Linked DNA regions of Caenorhabditis elegans. The protein of the gene in region 3 interacts with the protein of the main gene of each other region in a pairwise test. Each region holds a gene or a part of one and is shown on either strand. Other genes may lie near its edges.

Region 1 (4,842 bases), on a different chromosome or scaffold from region 3:
AAATACGGTTATGTTCTTTAGGTATATTTACAAAAACTATGATTTCTTTGATAATTATTTAAAATTCAGCCACTGCAAAATCATAGATCAAATCAAAAGACCCGGAAAATAATTGTTTTCCAAAATATCAGCACATTTAGGAAGTACAATTCCAACAAGAATATATCCTAAATTGGCGGGAATCGAGAAAAGCATAACAAAAAAATAGATTCAATATATATGAAGAAAAATGTTTCAGATAACTTCATAACACAAACATCAATTGATCATGAAACGCGTGTTAGATTTGATTAACAAAACATGTTAACGATGTTCTTGGAACTACGCTGATTAGCAGAAAAAGTTGGTGGGAAATGTTGTTTAAAGTTTTTGAATACGCGACACGAAAAAGGAAAGTGAAAAACTTTCATAATGCTCCATCCAAGCACGTTCTTTAATTTGTGTTTATGATGGTGGGAAAATAGAAAAAGTGAAAAAAAGAGAAGAAGAAAAAGATTCTCAGATGTTCTCTAACAGAAAATGTAGATGAAACTAGAGAACCAGAAAAGCTCAGAGATAAACATCAAAAAGAAAATATTAGAGCAGATCAGTCTTCCACGAGCAGAACGTCATGAATATGTTCTTTAAAGATTAGTGTCAGGTTTGATGGGAATTGGCTGAAACTAGGGCTTCATGCGCCTCATCGGAACTTGGCTTGCCTTCACGGCAACCCTTGCCTGCCTTGTGCCTAGAAATATTAATAACTCATGAGTTAACACAATTCGAGCGCCAAACATCGTTGAATCAAAAATATGAAGCCAGGAGGGGCGGGTAGGTTTGAGGCAGGCAGTGGATCCTGAGGATGCACCTCTCTAGATAGATCTACTATGGGTAACCTAGCTAAAACTGAGTTCAAAATGACTAACTACCTACAGGTTCCATTCTAAAATTGAAACAACTTCTGCAGAAAATGAGAACAAATACTAACAGAGATTCGCCTGAATATTTCATCAAACATATGACTGTTTCGCAAGAGTTGCCATAGCCTCTTTCATCTCATTACCCATGCATGTTATGGAACAGAAATCAGAGCCTAAAAACTGAAAGATGGGAAGGAAAAAAGGGGCAAAGTGTGTGTCAAAACATTTACGAAAGCCCGATGACTCATTCCAAGAAATGAATGGGAACGGATAGAACGAATGAACAAAATATGTCTGGATAAAATGGAAATTAAGAAACCAAAGTTCGAGAATAAACGCATCGAAAATTAGTTCAGCTCACGTAGCTAAAAAAAATTTCAAGACAAACTTTTAAACATCTTCTTTGCAAAAATCTTGATAACGAGAAATTCGACGTAAAATAGAGAAGCGAAGGGCCGGGATAAGCCATTTGTAAGATCATTTTAGATTTTTTATAGCATTCGATCGTTCAAAATCAATTTTAAAATAGCATTGTTTGAACTTTTGCTTGAATTTTCTGTACTTATAGTGTGTTTTGTATTTTCGTATTGTACTTTTGTCAATATGACTTCGAAGAACGTTTTCAAAATACCTAACTATAAATTTCGACAAAACCTTAAAAAACCCAAATAGTGTACTAAAATGATCTGATGAGCTAATAATGAAACTTCCGAAAGGAACAGCTGTTAGTCTTATCATTTGGCACAATCAGGTCGAACCAATGAAATATTGCTCTCAAACCAAGAGAGGGCGGAGAGACATATTGTGGTGATTTATTAGGTAGTTCTTGTGAAAAAATGTCGGGTTTGAAATATGTTAAATTTCTAGATGAAGGTTTTAGAGAAATGAGGTTTGTCGGATTTGTATACCATAATATATTTAAGCTTTTTTTGAAGGATTTGAATAATACAAATCTTCAAAGTAAAGCTAGGGGACAAGCTAGAGTAGGAGGTAGAGATTTTCCAAAAAAACATAGTTTTACCGTTAATTGCAATTTTAAATATTAATCAAGAATTTAGGTTTAATGAAAGTTCAAAAAATTTACCAAGTTTACAGAATATGGTCTAGGAATATATATATATATATAGTTTCAAGTTCCTAGATCCTAACCCTAATGCCTCTACACTTCCGCTAAACTAGGCATATGCGTTTATCAACAAAAAACAGTTCGAAGAAAAGAGACCATATAAGACGAAGAGACGCAGACAGTTGCCAGATGGAACGGGCGGGAAAAGCTGTGCGCCGCTTCGATCACTACAGTAGCTGCGTCGTTGGAATCGAAAATCACGTGTCAACTCGATTTTTTTTTCTCGATCACTGCGTCTCTCTCCGAATTAGAGTCTCGCTCGTAGTTTTTGTGATGATTAAAATGTAATGATGAACATTCATAAAAGTGGGCGGAGCCAGGATTATACCGTTTACTCTATTTTTAAGTGTTTTATGTCCAGTTGAAAGGAAATTGTTGCATAGAAAAACTTTCAATTTGGTAAGAAACAATATGATTTAATTTTACAAATCATTTAAGAAAAATACAAAACAATTTTAACAACCACCTGTTTTTTTTGGCACGCGTCATAAACTTTTTATGGGTTCAAAGAATTCATATTAAACATAGATCTACAAATTGATATAATGTTTTGACAAACAACTTCATCAATTAACGATAAAATCACGAGATCACAAATGTTTGGTAGTTGTAATTTGGCATTTTGATAGTAGTGAAACTATAGTTTTGTAACCATGATTGTCCATTTCCTATTGTGACAGGTTTATCATCAAGTATTCCAAAACTTTTGAACTAGACAAACAAACTAACCCTTTTTGGAATTTTTCCTTCTTCGAGTTGGAGCTTTTGGAGCTTTTAGAACAACTTCTGGAGATTCTGATGATGTTGATGAGGATGGTGGTTCCTCTTGATCCTCTTCCATTTTTGTTTTATTTTGATTTCAAAACCTTTTGACAAATAAGAATTGAATAGAGAGGAAGAGAAGTTGATGACGAATCGGTTGACGACGATGGCGATGGGGGTTAGTCGGCGGGGGCCCCGAGAATGAGTCACACGCACACTCACTCTTGTCTCTTTTCCTCTGCTGACTCGTTCTTTTCCTTTTTCTCTCTTTTTCTATCTCTATCTCTTTCTCTCTATTTTCCAGATCCATGACATCCATAGACGCAGATAGACAAACGAACATTGAAAGAAAACATTGAAAATTGAGAGAATCCAGAAGTTTCTCATTCTCTCTATTTTTCATTCTCTCTTTCCACCACCCAATTGACATTTAGAAAGGTAAATGGAGAGAGAAAGAGAGGAAATGGATAAAGTTCGCAGAAAAATGTTACCGTAAATAATGTGTCAGTGTGCTTGCTTCACGTTCTCCGTCTCTTTTCCCTCATTTCTCTCCGCTCCTTTGACTTCTGTATTTGCCTTTCCATCAGCCACTTATCTTTTTGGAAGTTCATTGGCTTTTTCAGAGCTCATCTTGTTTTTCATTCTTTTTAGGCCTGACCTCATTAGTCTTTTACCCATAGATCTTGTTTATGCACCCAATAATAACTAAAATATAATACGTTTTTTGCAGGGGTTTGAAGCTTTCTGATCCGGTTTTTCAAATTAATAAAAACCGAGAGTAATAAAAACTCATGTTTCAGTAAATCCAATTTTGGAAGTCGACCAGAAAACATTTTTTGGAAAATTTGGCAATTTACTAAAACTGTTAATGAACATTTTACTCTGGAGTGTTCGATTATGACATTCGAGAATTTTGTCTGCACATACTTCAACTAGACCAGAAATACTCTAGATCATTTTTACAAAATCTAAACATATTTTGATTTTCTTTTTGAAATTGTTTGAGGTTTTGTTTTTGGCACAATGCAAAAAAAAGGTTTTTTTTCAAAGTAATTTATACTATTTTTGCATGTTCGGTCCTAGATCTTTCATATTTGTAATACGTGATAACATATTATTAGTAATAGCCAGATTTTGACTACAGTTACAAACATTTTTTAATTTTTTGAACTGTTTTACCATGTTATTCAGCATACCAAACAACTCGTCTAGATATCAAAACAAGTTTTATTCAAGGTAACATACCGTGTACCATACCATTTGGAAAGTACGGTAGATATCAGTTCATTGCATTTGGGAATTTGTATCGCATTTGCAAAGTTAATTTTGATTGGTAGATTTTTTTCGGCACTTGCACTTAATTTTTTCATAGAAACACCGTAATTTGCATAAGAATAGTCATTCGGCCTAACACGATCGATGCTAATTATCTTTTATTATTACTAACTTCATGTTTTATTTGGCTTATTTGTGCTGATATCTAGAGGCTTTTGAATTGTACATTCGTGAACCAGGAATTGGCCAAGTTTTGCCAATTTCGGAACCAAGTTGGGTACGAAGTTTCGAACATAAATCTGAAAGTGTTTCATTGGTCTCCAATAGTCATGATTTGTGATTCACTTTCCAATTTACAATATCAACAGTAGTATCTACTCATAATTGATAACTTCGTATTTTCTCTAATCATACTTATGTCTCTCACGATTCCATACAATTTCGCGTTCGTTATGGTTGTCTGCTCATCTTTTTGTACACGGTCATCAAAATGAAATCGGAACGAAAAAGCAGTCACAAATTCGGAAATCATTGCAAAAAAATGGTGGGAGTAAGAATTGAGAGATTAGTGGAAATGGCATCACATCAGAATCAATTTGAATTCTCTCTTTTTTTGTGTTTCCTCTGCCCACCCATTCACATTTCAGGTGATTTCGAGAACAAATTACGTCGAAAGGGAAACGCCTGGCTGAAAATAAAAAATTCAGAAAAAAAGGAAGAAAATAGAAAGTGCACGCACCGGCATACGTAATAAGGAGCCCCTCATCTAAATAATATTTA
Region 2 (6,210 bases), on a different chromosome or scaffold from region 3:
GATGATCTCGAGACACTTTCACCTCTTCTGCCCCCTCTTTTGCCCCTTCCTGAGTTGAGAACCGGTTCCAAATTCTGCCGATTTGCGATTCTCTCTCTCTCCTTCTGCGCATCAGAAGCTGAAGGCATCACCGAGCGTCGAGACTGTGAACACTTTTCCTCTTTTCTACCTCCAAAAAGTTACATAATACAGTTTTTTTGGAGGAAAGGTGTAAGGGGGCAGAAGTCATGATTCATTCGAGAGTGAACGCTAAATGAGATGAGGAGAAGGAAAAGCTGGTTTCGAAGAAGGATCAAGGTTACTGTAGTTATCAAGTAACCACTTGATCATAGGTTTTAGTTTGGAGTGTGCTAGTCTAGCAGAATTGCACATAACTTTCGATATCGTTGGGCACATATTTTGACTGTTTTAGAGTCGCCATGTGCATATAGTGCCCGACTTCGTTGACGATCTGTACATCGTGCATCGTAATGTCTATGAGGTACCTGCTGAAAGCATGACAAATTAACTGTGTAGGCAAAAGTTAGGAGCTCTTTTCTTTAGAAATAAGCATATTTGAGAGTTTCTTCAGTTAAAGTTAACCCAATATTTTGTTGTTACTTTTTTGATATCGAACATGGCAAGGTTTTTCACGGTCAGAGATTTTGAAATGTTCCAAAAAATACCAAAGTATGCATCAAAAATATAAGCCACCTTTTTTCAGTTCATTTAAGAATCTATTAGAATTAGAAATCTATGTTTGTCTAGATACCTTGCTTATTTCTCATTGGAAATACAATTATCTTTGTTATATTCAGAATTTCAATAGTTGAGTTTCATGTCTAACTCATCCCAAAATTCTTGTTTATCCAATTTCCCATGCAATCTAGCCACCTCAATGTACCAAGTTACTTGCCTCCTTTCGGAACTCTGCCGCAAATAACTTGGCACCTCGTGGTCCTTTGCAAAGTGCCGTAGAGGCGGTCTAGACACGCCTTTTTCAGGACGGGAGGCGGTGGTTGTAAGGAGGAAGATATACTTGTTACCATTTAGTTTTTCTCATTTCTGTTTTCTTGGCACCCTTTTTGATATTCTTTTCTATATAGTATTGTTTCACTTTCTGTACTTGGGTTTCCAAGATGAATGCTCTCTAAATGTGTCAAACCTTTTGCTCTCTGAAAACTTCCATTTCCAAACCATTTCTCTCATGACATGCCAATCTACCGTACATATACACACAGTAGTAGTACATCATCTCGTTTGGCCAATGCCAATTACAATTACCAAATGTCAAACCATTACATCATGCGAGAAGCCTCACTACCGCACTCTCGAAGTACACAGCTTCTGCTTCATTCTCCTACTTCGTTTTTGCCCCTTTCTAAAAATACCAGTTTTCTGATGCTTCTCCCCCTTATTCTATTGTGTTGTATTGTTATGTCATCACTCTTGTCATTGGGTTGTACAACATCCCTTTTCTCGAGAGAGAGAGAGAGAAATGAAAATGAGACAGAAAGGCAGTTTGACCTGATCATCTCGAAGAAGAATCAGTCAGGCTTATCATCAAAAATTGAATAGATTAAGCTCCTACGGTCATTTGCTAATTAACTTATCCAGCTAGAATCGTGGTAGTCATGATTGTTGATATTTAAGTTCTTATTTTGAATTTTTTCCTTTCTTGCCGTCTCTCTCCTTTTCCATACTTTTGCACATGTTCCAGCTTTTCTCCAGGAAAAAATTATCAGTGCTGGCTCTTATCAGTAAGCAAGTGACCGGCAACTAGAACCCTGCTTTACTATTACTTGAAAGTTTCTAATTGTATAGTTGGTTACGTTTCTTTTTGGAAAAGTATACTCTTGGTAGATTCTACCGTATACTTGTATCCTAAAGTATACTGTACTAAAGATACACTGAACGCCACCTTGTCTATCTCCTCGTAGAAATCTCTCATGGAAACGGATCGTAGACATCTTTGAATCTCTTATTCTCTCTAACTCTCGTTCTTTTTGGATTTTCCCTATATTTTCTGCCGAAATTCGGTCTCCTGAATTTCACTTTCTCTTACCTTTCTCTTTTAATTTTTCCACTTTCCGTTTCAACAATATTATTTTTCGTATTACTTTTTATTTCAGATATCAAATGGATCTCCAAAAACCGCCCAACTTCATGCTGGATTGTGGAATGGCTCCGCATATGATGCCGCCGATTAACTGGGCTGCGGCCGCAATTGCAGTAGCCTCATCGACTTCTGGAGCCACAAATGCCACATCGTCTAACTCGGTTGCCACGTCACAACAATTACAACATCATCCATATGGGACAGCAGCTGGAGGCTATAAGGTTTGTGATACGGTTTTTTTGGTTGTAAATATTGAAACAATGGGCTTTACACTTTGATAAGTGATAAGCTGTCAAAAGGACATCAGGAAGTGGACACAGCCCTTTTTGTAATAATTTTTTAGTAAACAAGGTAATAAATTTAGTAAAAACAAAAAACATGATACTTTGCACTGGTCATCTTGTTATCTTATTTTTTGAAACTTCTAGAGTGGAAGAGCAACAAATTTGAAAACTCTTTTCTTATCAGTTACTTGACATTTGCACTTTTAGAAATGTTCTCAACCTAGAAGTACCAAAAAATTAAAAATTGCTCTGAAACAAATCCATACATTTTCAGCATGCACAACAAGCGATTCCCAAATCAGTGACCCCGTATTCGGATGCAACAAATTGCAAAAAGTCATCAAATCACATCAAGCGACCAATGAACGCTTTTATGGTTTGGTCTCAAATGGAACGGAGAAAGATTTGTGAGCATCAGCCAGATATGCATAATGCAGAAATCAGTAAGCAATTGGGAAGTCGTTGGAGAAGTTTGACTGATGAGGAAAAAGCTCCATTTGTTGCTGAAGCTGAGAGACTCAGAGTTTGTCATATGCAGGTTAGTATGGGAGAATATAGTTTAATTCAATTCAATATTGATACCGAATTTTCTATATAAGTAAGAAATACAGTAATAATTTTTGAACAAGTGTATTTTCACTAAATAATTTCAAAACGTATTGTGCTGATAATAGAGGCTTCATACCAATCAAAAGTTTTCCGTAATCGGCATTTTCGGAAATTCAAAAATACGACAATTATCGAGTTCAAAAAAGTTAAAAAAAAAGAGAATAATTTGAAAAAAAAATTTGAATTTTGAACGAAAAACAAATTTCTACTATAGTCAGTGTAGGAGGTAGGTGAAACAATATAAGCTTTTCATTAAAAACTAAAAATTCCAATATTTTATTTTTGGTGATTTTCCGAATCTCAGAAATTTTTAAATATTCGACGTTTTTGGCAACTGCCAAATTATCAAATTTTAGAATATTCAAATAGTAGCTTACCTCTGTGCCACACAGGAAATACTGTAACCGGATTTTTCGAATAATTGTATTGTAATTTTAAATTTTTTCAGGAATATCCAGACTACAAATACAAGCCACGCAAGAAGCCAAAGAAGAATCCAGATGGAACACTTCAGCAGCCAGCTCAACCCCAAGCTCCACAACAGCAACAGGCCCCACCACGTGGAGCATCACCACAGGCTCGTCAACGAAAACGTCCAAACACAGATCAACAGTCAGAAACACAACAATTCCAAAACTTTAAATCAGTGAAAGTGGAGCAAGATTGGATGGGAAATGCTCATATGAGTCATGCACAAAAGATGCCATTTCATCCATCGTATCCATCACCTTCCGAGTTTGGACATGCTCCGTTGACACCTGAATCTGGATTTTATGATGACTATTTTACACAGCAACATCATCAACAGCATTTTGCATCACAACATCATAATTCGGCAGGAAGTCCCCTCAGAATGGTTAGTTTTTATAGATCACGAAATGCTTGGAAAATTCAATATTTTCAGACGAATCTTGGTATGGACATGGGAATGCCACCACAAATGATGGGGCATAATTCGGGATTTGGAGCTGGTAATCATCCTTTCTACTTGCACACTTCACCACCATCAGTTGATCAGGTACGGGTTGTCTCTTTTGCATGAGATTTTGTTTGAAGCACTTTTTGTTTGGGAGTACGGTAGGATGTAGTGGCTAAAAATTTAGAAAATTGCCAAATTTTATTTTCTGAAAGGTGGGGAATTTTATCTTAAAGAAAATAATTAATCACTCAAAATACTTTATATTTGTCAAAATTTTCAATCAAAGTTTTGCAAATTATCAAATTTCCGAAGAAATTTAACTTTATGAGAAATTGTTCGAGCCCTTAGAATTTATAGAAACACTTACTTGTGATTCAATTTTTACTTAGGTTTAGTACTTAAAACCCGTTGACTGTAAATTTTAAAAAAAGTTCAAAAATTTTTGAATTTTTCTGAAGTGGATTAAGTAGTTTCTAATACATTGTCGATATTTCATCTTTTATATTGAAAAACATTTAAATCATAAAATTCTTAGTACTGGCCATTGGATTTTGAAAATTTATATTATTAGTCCTTTTAGCGTAAATCCTACCGTACTCCATTTTCCACTACAATCCCTTCCCAGCATCCATGCTTAACATCCTAATAACCGCTTGTTTTCCTTCAGATACCTAACCCAATGATTCAGAATCATAATCTTTATAACATGTACCACTTCGCACCATCACCAGCACCAACTTCAACACCACCAGCACAATATCCTCATGAAATGTTCAAAACTCATGAGTTTCAGGACGACATGCGTAGTCTATCGTCTGGATCTTCGGGATACGCCGACTGTAGTGCTTCTGAACAATCAACGTCATCACCAAACTCGGCGGGAGTCGTCACAATGGCTACGGCCGCTACGACTACAACACATTTGGATGACCTGGAGCAGATTTGTCCAACTGTAACCACAGGCGAGCTGGTCAATTATCCATGGAGCGATGCATTGGGAATTGATATTAATTTTTCTTGAATATTTCAGACAAGTTTTTTTTTGAAAACTTCTGAAAGTTCGGGTAGTAAGTAGATCGCTACGTCCAAATGTTTTTTTTCACTGTTTCTTCTGAAAGCCCAACATTTTCTGCTCCTACCTCAATTCTAGCCTCTCCCCTGAAACAATTCTCTCTTTATCTCTCTCCAACAATTTTCGAGTGTCCCTTTAGTCCGGTCTTAGTACCTTTTAATCCCCAGCATTTTCTAGTTATTTACCACCTTTTTCTGTATTTTTCTCTTTGTTTTCCAGTATTTCCTCAACAAATCCAAGCGATTGTATTCTTTCATTTCTTGAAACCCTAAGAGTATTTCTACAAATCCAAAAAGTAATTCACTAATTTCAAATTGAAAGTATTCTTCTACAAAAGTATCGTCCCCATTTCTTTACCCATTTTTATCCTCTCCCAGCTTTACCGAGCCAGTTTTCATTCGTTCTTTCAACTTTCATCGATTACCCAATTCGCCGTTGTACTTGAAAAAAAAAATTTCTGAGATTTCAAGCACGAAATTATGATTGTATATGTTGAACACTTCCCCCCATCCCCTGCCCTCTACAATATGCCAAATGTAGCTACCCTTTTTCCCAAACCTGAAGAAATATTTATTCTCTTGTTCATCTCTAAATATCTCTTATCCTTTTTCACTCATCTTTCCAAATTTTCAGTATTGAATGAATTTCTTCCTCTTGATTTCATTTATTATTGATTGATTTATGTTTGTCTCCTTTTTCTGAGCAATAAAAATCATTTAAAAAATTAACTTGTTTTTGATTTCAAAATACATAGATTTGTGGAAATAATATACGTTTAATTAATTTTTTCTGTTCTGTAAATTAAAATTCAGGTAAATACCTAGCAATTTTCTACTATTAATTAGTTATTGGCAGCTGCGGCAAGTGTGTGACACAAATTGAAAAAACTTCCCTAAATAATGTCTCGTAAACAGTCTCGTAAAATATGTATGACATATTACAATTTAACATAACAGTTCAATCCTGGCCTGAAATCAATTTTTGTGCTGGTAGAACAATTGCTCCGTGAATACTGCAATAACCGAGCAGTCGGGAAGCCGCTTTTCTGGAACCTCTTGTTTTTTTTTGCAATGTCATTCTCGGAATTTTGGCACTTTTCTGAAACCTGCTTTAAAAAGTCACACCCTGTTTTTGGCTCCAACAGCTTTGAAAAAAAAACAACCTTCAAATAAATAGTGCATTCTATCATCCGTCCTTCACAACCTCAACTTGTCGGCATGTTTCTTTT
Region 3 (7,600 bases):
ATCATGTAACCAATAAATACTGGTTTTAGTCTATAATTTTGATGTTTGTAGTGAAAATTACAGCAAGTTGCCGGAATTTAAAATATTCGGCAAACCGGCAAATTGCTGGAATTTGAAATTTCCGGCAAATGGACAAACCGGCAAAGTGCCGGAATCGAAAATTCCCGGCAAACCCGCAAATTTCCCAAATTTGAAAATTCCAACAAATCGGCAAATTGCTGGAATTGAAAATTTCTGGCAAACCCGCAAATTGCCCAAATTTGAAATTTCCGACAAATCGGCAAATTTCCGAAATTGAAAATTTCCGGCAAATCGGCAAACCGGCAAATTGCCGAAAATGAAAATTTCCGGCAAATCGGCAAATTGCCATGAATCGAAAATTTCCGGCAAATCGGCCAACCTGCAAATTGCCGGAATTGAAAACTTCCGGCAAACCGGTAAATTGCTGAAATTGAAAATTTCAGACAAATCGGCAAACCGGCAAATTGCCGGAATTGAAAATTTCCGGCAAATCGACAAATTGCCGGAATTAAGATTTCTCGCAAATCGGCAAACCGGCAAATTGCCGAACTTTAAATTTCCGGCAAATCGGCAAATTGCCGGAATTGAAAATTTCCGACAAACATTCCAACCGACAACTTGTCTGAATTGAAAATTTCAGACAAATCGGCAAACCGGCAAATTGCCGGAACTGAAAATTTCCGGCAAACCGGCACATCGGCAAATTGCCGGAAATGAAAATTTCCGGCAAATTGGCAAATTGCAGAAATTGAAAATTTCCGGCAAACCGGTAAATTGCCGGAATTAAGTTTTCCGGCAAATCGGCAAATTGCAAACCGGTAAATTCATTAAAACATTTATTCATCCATCAATTGAAAATCAAAACAATTCAACATTATCTGATTCAAAGACTTCAGTAATAAGACTGCTCATGGAGCTTCGGAGCAAACTTGACATCTCCCATGGTCCGTTTTCATAGAGCCACGTAACTGTATTGATTAGTTGTGTAGCTGTCTCGATAGAGTCATTTGTGAAGGAGTACCGCCATAGACAACATTTATAAAAGTTTTCCAAAGGTGCAGCGAATTTCAGAAGGGGACTGGCTGGAAAATTAATATCTAGCTAGATCTAGCATAAATAAAAGGGGATCTGAAACTTACTGGATTGGGAGAGAAGTATGCAGATAGTCAGCCGTAGTTGTTCTGGGTCACAATGCACTTTTTGCGGGATAGGTTTTGGCGGCTTAAATGGGTTACGGTAATATTCGCTGTGAGACCCAAAAACTTACTGGAAACCTGCTTAGTACTGCCTCATCTCCACTGGCCAATATCAATAGGGCAAATATGATTTGGCAGTTTTCTTCAACAACTTCTCGACGTTCCTGTTGGGACATGAAGTTTAGCAATAAGCATTTTGATGTAAGGATTACGGATTTCGAGAATATCGAGTCATCTGGAAATGGAAAAAAAAACCTGAGAATAAGAGAAGAAATCTACAACTTATCCACCAACTTTAGCAATTTTAGAAATGCCAAGCGTAGAAGTTGCTAAATTTGATTGAAAAAAGTTGGATAAAGTTGTCCAAAGTATTACGTGAACACTAAATTCAGAGAATGCGTATTGCACAACATATTTGACGCGCAAAATATCTCGTAGCGAAAACTACAGTATCTCTTTTAATTACTTTCGAAATGAATTTATTTTCCAAAAGTGACAGCGATATTCCATTTTTCTTCGATTTTTCGTATTATTTTGTTCATTTTTTTGCTTACTATTAATTTTTAATATTTTATCGATCAAAAATGATTTTCGTAAATCGACACAAGCTTTACAGTAGTCATTTAAAGAGTTACTGTAGTTTTCGCTATGAGATATTTTGCGCGTCAAATATGTTGCACAATACGCATTCTCAGAATTTTGTAATAGTCAAACTTAGAAGAAAGAAGGCTATGCAAGGCTAAGTTGGTGTATAAGTTTTGATGAATTACCCGAGTATAGACTTACATTTGAAAGAGATGGGGTTATTGGTATGTTTCAGCTGCAGGCATCGAAGCCTCCGAGGTCCTCGTTCAGTTTGGACAGCTGAATTGAACTTGATATATCAGTTAAGCAAAAAGAAAACACTATTTAAAAACGTAAATTGACAACACATTCTGTTCAATTTTTAAATTAATATTACCCAGGGGCGTTGGTGCGAAGAGTCTCAATTCTGTAGATATATGTAAGGTTCTTTTCATTACAGCTTCGTACACTCAAAATAATAAAACTGCGTGGCGTGTACTGCAGAAAACCTCATATTTAGGCCCCGCCTTTTTCTCGTCCACTCACGGAGAAAAGGCAAAAATTTGGGGACCAACCAATATCAGGCCGCCGACATCCTACGGGTTCCGCGCGCCGCTTTGTTTAACTCGCAGCGGGCGTCGATTTGACCTACGTAGGTCAAACGAAAATTGCGCAGAATACGCAAACACCGGCGGGAATTGCGCTTCATTGCACTTCCAGAATTTTCTTCTTTTTTTCCATTTTCTTTGATTTGTCATCAATTCTCTCCGTTTTTTGCCCATTTTTCTCCGATTTTTGGCCATTTTTTTTCAATGTAAAACTCGATTTTTCTTCATTTTTTGCCGATTTTCTGCCTATTTTTCTTGGATTTTCAAAGTAAAACTCGATTTTTCAGCACCGCCAGCAGTTCTAACGAGACAATGGCTGGAATGGACTTCTCGATGCCAAAGGAGCTCGTGTTCGACGCAATCGTGGTGGTGGAGGAGCGGAAGTTCCACGTGGGGAAGCAGGTTTGTGAAAACTTTGTTTAACTCGCAGCGGGCGGAGACAGCACCACGCCCACAGCGAGTTAAACATAGCGGCGCGCGGAACCCGTAGGATGTCGGCGGCCTGATATTGGTTGGTCCCCAAATTTTTGCCTTTTCTCCGTGAGTGGACGAGAAAAAGGCGGGGCCTAAATATGAGGTTTTCTGCAGTACACGCCACGCAGTTTTATTATTTTGAGTGTATACATTAACCAAAAAATCGATAAATTTACGGAAAAAAAATTCTCCGATTTTCTCAATTTTTTTTTTGCAAATTTATTGATTTTTCTGGAAATCAATTGGTTTTCCAGTAATTTTTCGATTTTTCTAAAAATTTATCGGTTTCCCGAAATTTATCGGGTTTTCCGGTGGTGTCAGAGTGCCCCTTTTCGATTTGACCTACGTAGGTCAAACGAAAATTGCGCAGAATACGCAAACACCGGCGGGAATTGCGCTTCATTGCACTTCCAGAATTTTCTTCTTTTTTTCCATTTTCTTTGATTTGTCATCAATTCTCTCCGTTTTTTGCCCATTTTTCTCCGATTTTTGGCCATTTTTTTTCAATGTAAAACTCGATTTTTCTTCATTTTTTGCCGATTTTCTGCCTATTTTTCTTGGATTTTCAAAGTAAAACTCGATTTTTCAGCACCGCCAGCAGTTCTAACGAGACAATGGCTGGAATGGACTTCTCGATGCCAAAGGAGCTCGTGTTCGACGCAATCGTGGTGGTGGAGGAGCGGAAGTTCCACGTGGGGAAGCAGGTTTGTGAAAACTACTAAAATTTTTGTGTAATAATTCACTATTTTCAGTATCTCGCCACACATTCGCGGGTCTTCCAGTCTCTGTTCGCCACCCCGGGAGATCCAGAGATCACAATTCAGGACGTCTCTTCCGAGGATTTCCTCAAATTCCTCGAATTCATGTACCACAACACGGATCAAATCACAGCACAGAATGTGGAGTCGCTTCTGACGGTTTCTGCACGGTTTGGCGTGGATTTTGTGATGGCTCGCTGCGAAAATTGGCTCTCACTCGATGAGTCAATGGATTTCTCGCTTCGTCTCCAGCTCGCCGAGACGTACAAATTCTGGAATCTCTTTGACAAACTTCTGGAGACGTTGCAAAGCGAAGCCGACTGTCAGCAAGTGATGAAAATGCGATTCCCACCGAAGTTGGCCAGTCATTCGATGATGGCGTTGTGTCGCCGAGCTGCTGCTCTCGCCAAGGAAGCTGCAAAGCCAGAAGGAGCCGGAGCACAAATCACCGAGGAGGAGCTCGACCGGACTATGAAGATGCTCGCTCCAGCAGAAGATGACCATTCTCAGATGGAGCTCACAGTTCCCGACGACAACGCTTCCGGAAGCTCTGGAACTCTCGGAGATTCTGAGGACACTGGTGCTGAGCTCGTGGAGCCGGAACTCTCAAGGATCCTTCAGAGGACGTTCGTGGTGCCGAGAAGATCGCGGAAGCTGTCTGTGCCAGAGCCGGAGGAGTACGAGGAGGACGGCTTCTCGGAAACTCTGGAGCTGTTCCAGGAGGAGGCACGCAGCTGCCACGACGATACAATCACGCTGGAGTGATGGATAAGAAGATAATTTTCATGTCAAATAATTTCGCCATATTTTTTATTAGTATATTTAAATTTTCATCGTGTACATATTAGACTATTTCAAGTTATTTTTGTGAATTCATAAATCGGGTCGCAACTTGATATTATTTTTGACTCGGAAATGTTTGAAACTCTAGGAAAGGGAGAGAGAGAGAGAAGAGAGACTTGAGCCAAAGCCTAATCCTACGCTTGAGCCAAAGACTGAGCCGAAGCCTAATCCTACGCCTAAGACTAATTCAAAGCCTAATCATAAGCCTGAGCCTAAGCATAACCTTATGCCCAAGCCAAGTCCTAAACCTAAGCCAGAGACTGAGCCTAAGCCTAAGCCCACGAATAAGCCTAGTACTATTCCTGATTCAAAGTCTAATCCTACTCCTAGGCCTACACCTAAGCCTAAGCCTAGGCCTCAGTCTAAGACTAAGCCTAAGACTAAGCCCAAGTCTAAGCCTAGGCCCATGTCTAATCCTAAGCCTATGCCTGGGCCCACACCTAGGCCTACACCTAGGCCTGAGCCTATTACTCACCGAGTCTATTCATCTTCAACCTTGTGCATTTTGCAAGCCGACACGCCGGGCACCAATTCCTTCGGCCTTTATCCACGACGCACTTCCAATTTCCCGCTGAAATATAATTTCAGATAATATAAATTTCCGGCCTGAAAGCTAACCAATACAAGTATAGATAATATTCTTGCGTACACTTCTCTTGAAAAAGCAACTGCATCCATCACATGCCCATACTCCATAGTGTCTACCGTAAGACTTGTCTCCACAAATCTCACAGTTCACGGCTGCCGTGTCTTTTCGGCCTGAAAACGATATTTGATCTACAGAAATTGCGCCAATTTGAGCGCGCGCTGTGAAATTCGTGTGACCTCACATTTTCGGAAAATTTTTGGCAATTGCCGTTTTTCCGGCAATTTTCCGATTTGCTGGAAATTTTCAATTCCGGCAATTTGTCGATTTGCCATTTTTCCGGCAAATTCGGCAAATCAATTTGCCGGTTTGCCGATTTGCCGGAAATTTTAATTTCCGGCAATTTGCCGATTTGCCATTAATTTTCAATTCCGGCAATTTGCCGATTTGCCGGTTTGCCGGAAAAAATCGTTTGCCGCTTGCGGAAATTCCATTAATGTTTTTGTGAAAGAAACAAATTCAAACTGTAGTTAACGAGTTTTTCGTAAAAAACTAAAAAATTCGAAGAACTGCTGCAAACGCGCCCCAACGAACTATTGGCCTACGTAGCGCGGCCAATTTTTATTCAAATTTTGCAGAATAATTACAAAAACCGAGAAAATTCTCACTTACCCATCGAAAAATTAGCAAAATCACCGGAAACCGAAAAATAAAAGGCATATCTCCGTATTGCAGCTCGCCAATTTATACCACCTGAGAATCACTAATTGGAAAGGTATTCGGTGTCAGATGGTAGTAGTAGTACTAGTTGAAATATGAGAATAGTCCCCCACCTTTCCCAAAATCACAAGGTTAGAAGAAGCTTACTTCATCATAAGTCGGGGCGCATTAATTATTTATTGAATTTTTGAGCAACCGACACTCTGATCGAATAGATTTTCTATGGAAAATCGGAAAGAATTTGCTATTTTGAAGCTGAAATTGGCTGGGGCAAAAAAGGGCAAAAACAGGCAAAAAATTATGAAAAAAATTTAGAAAAAAAATTTGCAAAAAGAAATTCAAATTAATTTTTTTAAAATTTTCTATTGAAAACTTTAAATATCTCACTGAACAACTATTAGTTTGCTTACCAGCCTGTCTACCTACCTACCTAAATGCCTATCTGCCTGCATGCCTACATACATATCGGCGTTCCTACCTACCTATCAGTATGACCCCTGCCTGCCAGCCTGGTTACCTACCTACATACCTATCGGCCTACCTGCCTACCTTAATACCTATCTGCCTGCATGCCTGTGTACCAGCTTGGTTACCTACCTACATACCTATCGGCCATCCTACCTACCTAAATGCCTATAGGCGTTCCTGCCCACCTAAACACCTATCTGCCTGTATGCCTGCCTACCAGCCTGGCTGCCTATCTACATACCTACCGGCCTACCTACCTAACTGAATACCTGTCTTCTGCCTTCATGCCTGTCTACCAATTTGGCTACCTACCTACATACCTATCGGCCTTCCTATCTGCATGCCTGCATACCAGCCTGGTTACCTACCTACATACCTATTGGTGTACCTACATACCTACATGGCTATCCGCCTGCCTACCTGCTCACTTACCTGCCTGCCTGCCTGCCTAGCTTCCTGCCAAACAATTTTCGCGACCTATCGATGCACCATGTTCATTCCACCAAACTTGTTATAAAACTCCATTTTTATCAGAAAAACCTTTTTTCAAAGAAATCAAATTCTACAAAACAAAAAAAAATTGTCACAGATGTTGAAAAAGCTACACAGAAAGAGGGATTGTACAAGTAAAAATGTATCGGTGGATTGAAGAATATTGCCAAGTGAGGGGCCGGGGTAAACTTTTGGTTTGAAAGCATATTTGGGATGAGCAGAACAGAGTATGAGAGAAAAAAATATGAGAAAAATCCATCAAAAATACAGAAAATTAAAGAACCGAAGAAAAATGAAGAATTCAAAGTCGTTGTGCCGACCTAGAAGGTACCATACGTGACGTCACCGAACCAAAAGCGTCGCGAAATGTTTCAGTCCATCCCTGTAATTATTTCAAGTTAGGTTTTAAGGATTTTAAGGCTTTCAGCAGATTATTAAGAGTTAATTGGATTTTTTGGTAGTATGTGCACATTAATTTCGGCTCACAACAAAAGTTATGGTGCATCGATCAAAAAAAATTTTTTTTTCGAATTTAAAATTTTGTTCAATATCCTACAGTAAACTACAGTACCCCTACAGTACCCATACAGTTCCCTACAGTATCCCTATAGTATCCCTACAGTACCCTTGTAGTGCACCTACAGTACTTCCATATTAACTTTACATAAGATCTACTGTAGTCCTACAGTATTCCTGTAGTACATCTACAGAATTCCTACACTATCCCTACAATACTCCTACAGTAACCTACAGTACTCTAGAGTACTACTACAGTACCCTACAGTACCCCCCCCCCATTACAGGCCCTTACAGAATCCCTACAGTGCCCATACAACAGCTCTACAGTACCCCTAAAGCACTTCTACAGTG

Evidence for each region. Proteins that work in one complex are often made in the same cells at the same time.
Region 1: the proteins of nhr-239 (region 3) and jun-1 interact in a two-hybrid assay, tested with the Caenorhabditis elegans proteins (one large-scale study listed by BioGRID).
Region 2: the proteins of nhr-239 (region 3) and sem-2 interact in a two-hybrid assay, tested with the Caenorhabditis elegans proteins (one large-scale study listed by BioGRID).

The regions. Positions count from the first base shown.
Region 1 is NC_003280.10:9,111,315-9,116,156, reverse strand, and holds the start of jun-1 (Transcription factor jun-1), read right to left. Parts: upstream 3,001-4,842; 5' UTR 2,867-3,000; coding exon 2,755-2,866; intron 1-2,754. UniProt on the Caenorhabditis elegans protein: Transcription factor that recognizes and binds to the AP-1 non-canonical enhancer heptamer motif 5'-TTAGTCA-3'. Required for ovulation. Controls plc-1 expression in the spermatheca to regulate spermathecal valve dilation.
Region 2 is NC_003279.8:5,204,030-5,210,239, reverse strand, and holds sem-2 (Transcription factor sem-2), read left to right. Parts: upstream 1-2,111; 5' UTR 2,112-2,118; coding exon 2,119-2,319; intron 2,320-2,656; coding exon 2,657-2,920; intron 2,921-3,439; coding exon 3,440-3,847; intron 3,848-3,895; coding exon 3,896-4,009; intron 4,010-4,703; coding exon 4,704-4,931; 3' UTR 4,932-5,710; downstream 5,711-6,210. UniProt on the Caenorhabditis elegans protein: Probable transcription factor required for embryogenesis, vulval development and cell fate specification of the postembryonic mesoderm (also known as the M lineage).
Region 3 is NC_003281.10:2,559,836-2,567,435, reverse strand, and holds nhr-239 (Nuclear receptor domain-containing protein), read right to left. Parts: upstream 5,727-7,600; coding exon 5,723-5,726; intron 5,224-5,722; coding exon 5,083-5,223; intron 5,036-5,082; coding exon 4,940-5,035; intron 4,518-4,939; exon of another isoform or gene 4,387-4,517; coding exon of another isoform or gene 3,616-4,386; intron 3,568-3,615; coding exon of another isoform or gene 3,478-3,567; exon of another isoform or gene 3,453-3,477; intron 2,082-3,452; coding exon 2,004-2,081; intron 1,453-2,003; coding exon 1,289-1,452; intron 1,243-1,288; coding exon 1,161-1,242; intron 1,104-1,160; coding exon 880-1,103; 3' UTR 841-879; downstream 1-840. Other genes in the region: Y54F10AM.11 (BTB domain-containing protein), read left to right, coding at 3,478-3,567, 3,616-4,386; feh-1 (Protein Fe65 homolog), read right to left, coding at 7,032-7,112.